2 linked regions of the Arabidopsis thaliana genome follow. The protein of the gene in region 1 interacts with the protein of each later gene in a pairwise test. Each region holds a gene or a part of one and is shown in the gene's direction. Other genes may lie near its edges. The genes, in order: AT1G20910 and AT1G55950.

Region 1 (6,965 bases):
TGTCATTTTATTATAAATTTTAAATATTTATAAAATTAGAAACTTCAAAAAAGATTAATATTGACCCAAACTTCATCATTGAATTTTGAGTGTTATATCTAAGATTTCTCTCGCAGTATATCGTCCCGTATTAATATCTTTTATATTGTTTAAATTTCTTGTAATATTTAATTTATAATTTTTTAAACTTTTTAAAGTTTCAATTTTTTAAAATAAATAACCCTAGTAAAACAAACCATTTTAATTTTGGACACCTCATAAATCAAGTTTCATGCTCATTCGTAATCGAAATCATTTTGGTCCTTTTTATAGTATGGCTCTTGACCATTGTCCAATTTTTTTAAGCGATATAGAACATTCTAAAATCGTAATTATTATCCACCCAAACCCGTCCTACCATATAATCCAGTCCCGTGAAATTAAACATAATTTTGTCATTTTCTTATAAATTTCAATATTATAAAATTTGAAACTTAAAAAAATACAATATCGACCCAATTTTTAAGATTTTTCCTGTAATATATCATCTCGTATTAATATATTTTTTCTATATTTGTAATGTTTAAATTTCTTGTAAAATTCAATTTATAATTTTTAAAACTTTATAAGTTTTAAAATTATAAATATTTAAAGCATTTTTTAAAGATAAACTTTATAAAAAGTTTTTAAAATTATAATATTTAACATTTGATAAAGTTATAATATTTATAATTTTTTGAAACATTTTAAAGTTTTAATTCTTTAAAATAAAAAATCCGAGTAAAATCGGATAACTATTTTAATTTTGGACGCCTGATAAATCAAGCTTCATGCTCATTCATAATCAGAATCATTTTGGTCCTTTTATAATATGGGTCTGAACCATTGTCCAATTTTTCTAAGCGATGTTGGACATTGTACACATATTATTTCTTCATAGGTTGAATAATATATGTCCGTTTTAAAAAATTTGAATTACATCATATTCAGAAAAAAATATAATATTTTATTAACTATATATATTTTATATAAATTCAAAATAAATAAAGTATAAGATCAAATAAAATTGAAAGAAGAATTATATATTTATGTTTAAATTAGGTAGAAATATTTTAGGAAATTAGTTAAGGTAAATAAGAAATATGGTTAGTTTAGAGATATTGTTTATATTAAATTTGGTAATTAAATCATTAATTTTCGTTTTTAATTATTAGTTTTTAGGTAACTTTTCCAAAAACTAATGTTATCCAAGATCAGAACTGAATTAAACATGTTATCCAGGATCTGAACAGAGTTAAGCCGAGTAAAACCCACCCATTTGAATTAATTGTTGAATTATGGCTCAAATCTTCAACATTATCTTCAAAAATCCCCTCCAAACATGTATATATAGATATTTCCATTATGATATAGTTTTCACATCTTAACTCCAAATCATGAAACCTAAATTTTATTTCCAAGTCTCAACATCATATATTTTAATTATCATCTTGAACTTCTTGTTAAAAATATAAAATTAATTCATAAACTTTTCTATAAACCTAAGTTTTTTAATATTTTTTGTATCGTATTTATACTAATTTCGATCTTCTTTGTTTCCTCCGTAATCGTTGTCGTAATTTCGTAAACCTAAATTTCATATAGCTCCTTTCTTCTATGTATATATGTTTTGTACAATGTTTCATATATATAATAACACCCTTTGGCAAAAAAAAAAAAAAAACTTTTTCAATGTTTATCTTTCGTGGTTATTACATATAGTAGAAATCCCAACATTCAACAACAATAAAAGGTTACAAATCCTATATTTACCAAAAATTAAGAAAGTCTAAAAAGACTAATAGATACAAAAAGAAGAAAAGAAATTGTTTACTTTTTGAGTGTAAAACAAATTAAAGTTAAAAACCACATAACATCCCCCATCCCATCTTTTTTACTAATACCTTCCTCCATTAACATAAGATTGTCTCTCCTCTTTCGAATTGTCTCTCCTTTTTCAGCTCTCTCTCTGTATCTCCTTCTTCTTCTTCTTCCTCCAGCTTCTTTCAATTTCTCCGGCTGCTAAACCCTAGCGCGCCGTCGGAGTCCCTGCGTTCTCATACCAACCTTTACTCGCCGTCGCCGTCGCTGCAGAACTGGTAAGCATATGTTTTTTTTTGCTGCTCTCTGTATTCTATGGAAGCTGAAAGGTCTTCTCGGCTTGTTTATCTGTGGTAGTTTTGATTAGGATGAGGTTTTGTAGTAATAGAGTGAGTGAGTTTGCTCCAATTCTTAATTGCGTTTAGAGATAGAAGAGAGAGAGAGAGAGAAGCTATAGTTTCCAGGCGGAGAAGAAAGACAATTCCTTTTTGTTTAATCTGGAATCACCAATAGTTAGTTATATACAGTTTTTTTATCTTCTTCGTTTTTTTCTTCTGGATTTGTTCTTTTGTCCTTGTCTTGCTGTGACTGACTACTCCACAACAGAAATCGAAGCTTAAGATGGTGGATACCGAAATGCAAGAGCAAGATGTGACTTTTGGTGCCCTTGTTGAGACAAAGTATTTAGAGGAAGAACCTTTGGAGCCAGAAAATGATCACAACCCTAGTGAAATCCCGCAGCCCCTTCTTCTTGGAGATGGTCAGGCTAATAATGGTCATGGCATGAATGGTGGTGCTGTTGGAGTTGTTGACCACTCTGAAAGGAAGACTCGTAGGGTGCAAATGTTGAGTCCTAAGACTGAAGGTGAGAATGCCAAAAAGAGGAAGACTTGGCTGCTGGATTCTGAGGTACTAGGCTATGTTTCTTTCAATTTGGCTCAAAAAGCCTGTGTCTTTTTGTTTTCTCAGGATTGGATTTCACTGTTTTGTGGTCGAAAATTATGTGGTGATTGTTCACTTACTGGTTCACCTTTCTCTACAGGCACAGGGAACTGATGAAGCAGGGACACCGGTAGAACAAGTGGCGTTTCTAAGAGAAGTGGAGGCCTTTTACAAAGAGAGTTTCCTGGAATTTAAACCTCCTAAGTTTTATGGACAGCCTTTAAACATTCTCAAGTGAGTTGTTGGAAAAGTGGTGCTTTTGTTCTTAATAAACCCATATATCTGGTTAATCAGTGCCTCACTTTTGCATCCAATGTAGGCTTTGGCGAGCAGTCGTGAACCTAGGTGGCTATGAAGTGGTAATTATCCAAAACCATATCGTTTTTAGTTCGTCAGTTTATAAGTCTTGGTTATTTAAGTTGGCCCGTATGATTATCACCTACATTTTATTGTTTGAATTGTGGATGGCATATGAACTGTATATAGGGTATAACTATTGAATCCGTAAGCTAATTTATGATAAGAGTATCTATAACGATGTGGCTTTCAGAGAAGATTTATGACTTTAAGCGAACATATCAAACATTAAAGAATGTTCGATATTTTCTTGGGAAACTGATTTATTTTACTGTTGTTAGCTATATTTGGAATTATATATTCAATGTTTTCTTAATCTTCTGCTGGACTTATGGTCTTTAAGATTCCTTTGTTTTTTCATGGTAATGTAGGTCACCACAAATAAGCTGTGGCGGCAAGTTGGAGAATCCTTCAATCCTCCCAAGTATGGCTGATATTTTCCTTAGACTCTCCGTTAGTCTTTACCAATTTTTCATAATGCTAATCTTTTTCCACATTTGGTTAAACTATCTTTATTCAGGACATGCACAACAGTCTCCTACACATTCCGCAATTTCTATGAGAAGGTGAGTTTGTTTTTGTGCATAAGTATCGTATATTTATCCTGTCTTCATTTTTACTTATCCACTTCAGACAATTCTCCTTGTGCTTCTTCTTAGTATGGTGTGTTATAATAGTTAGTTTAATTCTTTGTCTTGCTGAGGTAGCTCTTTATTTTGGACTATTCTTTTGTCACTTCGAAGTTTGAATGCACTGCTTGTTTTCTTTCTATCTTATCATATAGATACAGGTACATATGATCTATATCTTTGCTTCAATTGCAGGCACTTTTGGAGTACGAAAAGTGTTTAAGGAATAATGGTGAGCTTAACCTTCCTGGTTCAACATTGATTCTGTCTTCCAGTGTCGAGAAAGAGGTATGAATTTCCCCTAAAAAAATGGCTTTTGGATTTTAGACACTACTGAATAATATATAGAAATAATGGTAGATATGGAAAGTTTGGATGAAGATCGATCTAGCACCGTAAAATTAATGAAGAGTATCTACTTGTCAATTTATTGTGGGAAGGTTTCATGTACTGTGATTAAATGTCGTTGATACTGAAGAAATGATAGCATAAGAGTTATTTTTCAGCATTTATGTAATACCAGCTAAACCTTTTAAACCCAACTATCTGCAATCTGACTGAAGAAAGCTGTAGCCATTTTGTGTTCGATACAAAAGCCATAAGAAATCCGTGTGCATAACCCAGTAAATTACCATATAAGTTGCAGAAAACCTAAACGAAAATTCATGTGCCTCCCTTTTTTTCCCTTCTCCATATTTTTTTCTTCCCTGATACAAGGACTTTGCTGTAGCCAAGTAGCCATCAAGGTTCAGGGTCAGGCAGGGCACGAAGAGATTCTGCAGCTCGTGCTATGCAAGGTTGGCATGCGCAGCGCCTTGTTGGATCTGGAGAGGTTACTGCGCCTGCTGTTAAGGTTTCACTTCAAATCTTACTGCACTTTGTGATTCCATTATGCAGAATTTTTTCATGCACCAAGGAATCTGACTCACATGTAGAAAGAAGAAGACTTTTTATTTCTTTTGTCGTTTTTTATTTCGGAAGTAAAATGATGTTCTCCTTTTGTTTCAGGATAAGGGCTTAATTTCCACCCCAAAGCACAAGAAACTCAAAAGCATTGGTACAAAATAGTTCTCAAGGCTTTGCTATTTTGTCAACGAGGGTTGCTTAACGTTATGTTTTAAACGGTTTTTTCAGGGCTGCAAAAACACAAACAACAAACTAGCATGGACCATGTTGTTACAAATGAAGCTGACAAACAGTTACGGAAAGCTGATCTCTCCTTCTTATTTGCAATTCTAAGATAGTTATATTAGTTTTTTGGTTCTTCTTTCAATGCCTCTTAGCAGTAATGAGATGAAAACGTAGCATTTTCTGGACCTGAACATATTACTATAGATTAACGTTAAGGTTTCCTTTTTGTCATGATAGGTTGGCTGCTGAGGTTGTTGATGTTGGACCCGTTGCTGACTGGGTGAAGATAAATGTCAAAGAATCTGTGAGTAACTTCTGCCAACGGCTAAAGAAACGCCAAAAACTTGCAAACTGGATGTTTGTTTCCAATATGGAATTCTTACCAAATCTGTTTTCCTTTTTCTTGAATTCACAGAAGGATTCCTTCGAGATATTTGCCTTGGTACCTGGACTTCTTCGCAAAGAGGTGAGCACTCCTTTGTAACCCTGTCTCTGAAGGCTACTTGATAAGTCCTTGTCTTTTAATTTTGTTTGAATGCATATTACTGTGACAATACAAAGCAAGCACAAAGCGATTTGGTAGGTTACCAAAGCAGATCCGTTGGCTTTAGTTTCATAGTCTCAGTACACAGTGTTGTAGGCAATAAGTATTTTCTGGTAAAATCAGTACATAGTTCCAATTACTGAACATACGTTGTCTTTTCTCAGGTTCGAATTCAATCAGATCCTGCGGGAAAGGTGGTTATAACAGGCCAGCCAGAGCAGCTTGACAATCCTTGGGGGATTACACCCTTCAAAAAGGTAAAACTTTCTTCTATATTCCAGATATGTCCATTAACTGAACTGATACAGAGACTGAGAACCTTCCTGTCATTTTGATATGTTTTCACCAGATTGTTGACTTATCAGCAAGAATTGATCCGCTTCACACATCCGCGGTCATGAGCATGCATGGACGGTTGTTCATACGAGTTCCGTTTGAGCAGTAATGGATTTCAAGAGAGCTGGTCAGTTGTTCGTGGTTTCTTCTAGGAATTCATATGTTTCAGAACCAAATTGTTAGGCGGCTGAAGCAGTTTTGTAACTGTGATTTGAATCTGAAGACTGAAGTTAGGAACATGCAACAAACATTTGATCTTACTGTAATATTTCTCTTTTGTATAATTTGAGATTAGTAGGAGAAACTGCTCCAAAGACATTTAGGATGCAACCAACAATGATGATTTTGATCTAAAATCGGAATGTTATGCTTTTCTTATACATATTTTTTTAATAGAGATGAATAGATTTGCCTATCCCATCTACTAGTTCTACTTCCAATAGTATACTTTTAGGTTCTCATGCGTTTCGGTTTTCAAAAGTTCTCCTGAGATGATTTGTTTTCAAAAAGTGAAAGTGAAAGTATGCATATATTGGTGGTGCATATTATTAAAGGGAAAACGAAAACAGCAAAAAACTTATTGACATTTCCCTGAATCTAAAAAGTTCATGATCGGGAATATATGATTTAGAAAAGAAAAAAAGGTTCATTACTTGTTTATATATATATATATATATGTATCATCAATTCATGACGAAAATTTAAGGTTCAAAAGTTTTGAAGCTCACTCTAGTTTTTGAGTCATCAGAAAATACTGCAGTATTAAGACAAGAAACATTATTCTCAACTTGTTTTCTTTCTCTTTAATCATGCAAAAAGGTTCACACTTCACAGTGATCAAAAAAGGTTTTTTATTGCTGATTCTCAACTTGGTGTAGCTCAATTGCATGTAAGGCACATGACATGACCGCATGGGAATTTGATAATATTTACAACTACAATGCTCTTTCTCCAAGCCCCCAAAAAAAAGTCATATGATTCCAAGTATATGTATTGATTCTAATTTATATTTTATATATTTTGGCAAAGCTAAAACGTTTTTTACTAAGAGACATCTGATCACTATAATATTTAGCTAAGAACTGTAGATTGTGACTTGTGAAATTAATCTGCAATTTGTTCCATGATATCAGTTGTAAAAAAAAAACAAATCATCCTAAAATAGTTAGAACTAATTCAATCAATAA
Region 2 (3,263 bases), about 14 Mb from region 1:
AGGATGGCGGTGGTCCTATGAAGTACCTAAGTGTCACGGTCTTCGAGGGTTTCTCTGCAGAGATTGTGAGGGACTTTTACATGGACAATGATTATAGGAAACTATGGGATAAGACTGTGGTTGAGCATGAGCAGTTGCAGGTTGATAGTAATACTGGAATTGAGATTGGTCGCACCATTAAAAAGTTTCCCTTGTTGACATCGAGAGAGTACGTTCTAGCTTGGAGATTGTGGCAAGGAAAGGAGAAGAAGTTCTACTGTTTCACAAAGGTCAAATTCAACCAAAAAACCTCTCTCTCCCTCTATCTGTCGCAATTTGTTGTTGCTTCTTTACTTATCATTTTGCTCTTTGGTTACTATTAGGAATGTGATCACAATATGGTACCACAACAGAGGAAGTATGTACGTGTAAGTTACTTTAGATCTGGTTGGCGAATCAGGCAAGGCAAGTGGATTCACCTAAAAGTTCTAGTCAGTGTTGTTTGAATACCATATAACCAGATATTGATTGATCATGGTGAACACGGTCCTTAGTTTCTTTTTTCAGTTTCTGTTGTCAGCATTCTTTCTACCTTTGATACTTATCTGACTGATACCTTTGACACACTTGCTGCAGTTCCCGGTAGAAATGCGTGTGAGATCAAAATGTTTCACCAGGAGAATGCTGGGTTAAATGTTGAGATGGCCAAGCTCGCCTTCTCAAAAGGCATATGGAGTTACGTTTGTAAGATGGAAAACGCTCTTTGTAAATACATAGCAACCAGTCATAGAACCCAAGGACCCATTCTATCTGCTGTCACCTTAATGAAAGAGGTGAGATTCATATGAAAATTCTGTTCTGTAAAATGGTATTTAGTGTCCTGAAAATATGCTTAAAGCAACCGGTTGGGTTGGGTCTTCACTGACATTGATTGTTGTATCTTCAGGTTCCATCAGAGTTAGAAACTGGGACAGATAATGTCACAGGCTCCATGGAAACAAGTAGTGGTGAAGGAGTGTTGAGTCATGTTGTAGCCGCCAAACAGAAGAAAAAAATGAGAAAGCCATCAACGAAACTGATAGCAAAAGGTCTAGTACTTGTGGGCGGTGCGATCTGCTTGTCCCGTGGTCCCTCAGCCTTAGGTGCTAAAGTCGCATTGGCTTACCTCTTGACGAAGCTGAACAAACGTGGAACTTCTCTGAATCAGACCACCCAGACCACCACCATTTAAGTAAATTTCTCCTGAACTCTGGTAGCTTTTGGTATCAAATTGTTGTACCACAGTAGTACTACCACTAGCGTATACAAAATGCAAGTCGGTGTTGATATGAATGTAAAAGCATACATTATAAACATACAAGCCTAAAGGTTATCATTCTTGTAATTGTATGTACTATGTAAGGTCTTTATCCCAATCAATCTTTACTTGATTCTTGAGTCACTACAAATTGTTCGATTGTAGTTGATATTGGGACAGATGAACATTAGTGACATTAAAGTTGAGACTAAAGAGAAAGCTTATGAGGTCTACTTTTAGCCCTTCTTTTTGGAAGTTGTAGCAACTATAGCTCAACCCTAGATGCTAAGCGGCGAGTGAAGAGTCCAACACCACAATAAATAGAAGACCTTTACTATGATATTATCTCATTACAAAACTGAAACGTTTTTTTATCTTGACAACAAAAGGAAAAAAAATGAAAAGAATAACAAAACTTTTGGCCTCCCACTCTCTCAAAAGTTTGATGGCCAAGAAAAACAAGCGTTCCCAACAGAAGAACAAGTGTCTCAAACCGGAGAAAGATCCATCGACGGTGAAGAGATTGTTGGAAGATCCGCCGAGGAAGAAAAGATATCTACAACCATTGGAAAATCCACCGACGGAATCTTATGGCGACGACGAGAAAATGGAGACTGAGGAAGAAGGAGAAAAATATCTTGGTAAGAATCTTCCGGCTTCTGCTTTTATCATCGTTGCTGCTGAAAGGCATGACTCCGATTCATATTCTGAAACCGAGCTGGAGAAGAAGATTTGCGGTTCCGTTGTTGTAGCCAAGATGAATGATGATAAGATGGTGTCAACAGATACCAAAAAGAAGTATTTTCAAAGAATATTGAGTGATGATGATAAGATCGTCTTGTTGCAAGGCATGGTTGATTTCCAGAATGATAAAGGGACGATTTCTTATGATGATATGACTGGTTTTATTGATACGGTGAAGAACATCATTAGCTTTCAAGCGAATAGTCGTCAATTCACTACCAAAATCCGTCGTTTGAAAGACAAGTTTGTACAGAAAAGGAACAAAGGTGTAGATGAGAACTCTCTAGCAAATGTTGAAATATATGAAATCTGAATACTTGTGGCTAAAGACAAGATTTTTGATGAGGTCAACTCGATGATCACTGGAGCAAATTAAACAAGTCTGAATTTAGAATTGTAATGCATCCTTTTTCATTTTCATCCCTTATGACTCTGTTTTTTCTATTTGGTTCTTTTTTTTTTGGTTTTTGATATTTGGATTTTGTTGCTAAAAACATTATGAAAGAACGGCAGATTAGATTTTAATGCATACAATTGTGTTTAAATTGTGGTCAAGGTTTATGGTATAAATTTGGTAAAAATACTCTCATTTTGGTTAGGCTCAATGAGTCATTTTGTTGCCAAGTTTAAAGATTACATGGTTCTTTCAAGCTGATTTCAACACTCATCAATGTCTAAGAGCATTGGCCTCAAAATCCGCAGAGCCAAGAAGAAGAAAAAGAAAAATCATAAAAACAGAGACCGTAGAGTGGCAGCGAAGAAGAATAAGAACAAAGATGCACCTCATGAAACCGATGCAAGTACAATTGACAAAGCTGCAACTAGTAACTTCACAAACCGGACATTATTCTTTGTTGCTGCTTGAATTTGTTCTACTAATTTGTTGTTTCTCCTTATTTGCAAGGTACATCCGACATGCATGAACATGATGATGATGGAACTGGTGACTACTCAAACCAGCTTTAACTCAATTTTTGGCTCTGCCACCACAAACAAAGATATGTAAGTAAAGCTAAAGCTGGGACAAACTCCTATTATCGGAAAATGGGTAGAAAAACCCCCACCTTTCCTCCAAACATATTAAAAACTCTCAACTTTTTTTTTTTAAACTCTCACCTATTATTAATAAACTAAACTTAAATTCAAACAAATCATTATATTAAAAACAGCAATAAAATTTCTTTTAATTTCTGATTTATTTTTTCAATTCGATTTGCAATTTCTAAGATTAAGGTTTTTGCTA

What was found.
Region 2: the proteins of AT1G20910 (region 1) and AT1G55950 interact in binary tests that used the Arabidopsis thaliana proteins (3 or more experiments, as listed by UniProt).

What each region holds. Positions count from the first base shown.
Region 1 is NC_003070.9:7,276,131-7,283,095, reverse strand, and holds AT1G20910 (ARID/BRIGHT DNA-binding domain-containing protein), read left to right. Parts: upstream 1-1,859; 5' UTR 1,860-2,117; intron 2,118-2,445; 5' UTR 2,446-2,460; coding exon 2,461-2,748; intron 2,749-2,881; coding exon 2,882-3,015; intron 3,016-3,100; coding exon 3,101-3,140; intron 3,141-3,509; coding exon 3,510-3,562; intron 3,563-3,658; coding exon 3,659-3,704; intron 3,705-3,962; coding exon 3,963-4,055; intron 4,056-4,497; coding exon 4,498-4,620; intron 4,621-4,775; coding exon 4,776-4,824; intron 4,825-4,901; coding exon 4,902-4,965; intron 4,966-5,135; coding exon 5,136-5,202; intron 5,203-5,313; coding exon 5,314-5,364; intron 5,365-5,606; coding exon 5,607-5,699; coding exon of another isoform or gene 5,700-5,777; exon of another isoform or gene 5,778-5,791; coding exon 5,792-5,887; 3' UTR 5,888-6,153; downstream 6,154-6,965.
Region 2 is NC_003070.9:20,925,909-20,929,171, reverse strand, and holds AT1G55950 (DNA-binding storekeeper protein-related transcriptional regulator), read left to right. Parts: upstream 1-1,626; 5' UTR 1,627-1,673; coding exon 1,674-2,333; 3' UTR 2,334-2,455; downstream 2,456-3,263. Other genes in the region: AT1G55960 (Polyketide cyclase/dehydrase and lipid transport superfamily protein), read left to right, coding at 3-269, 363-444, 616-812, 926-1,210.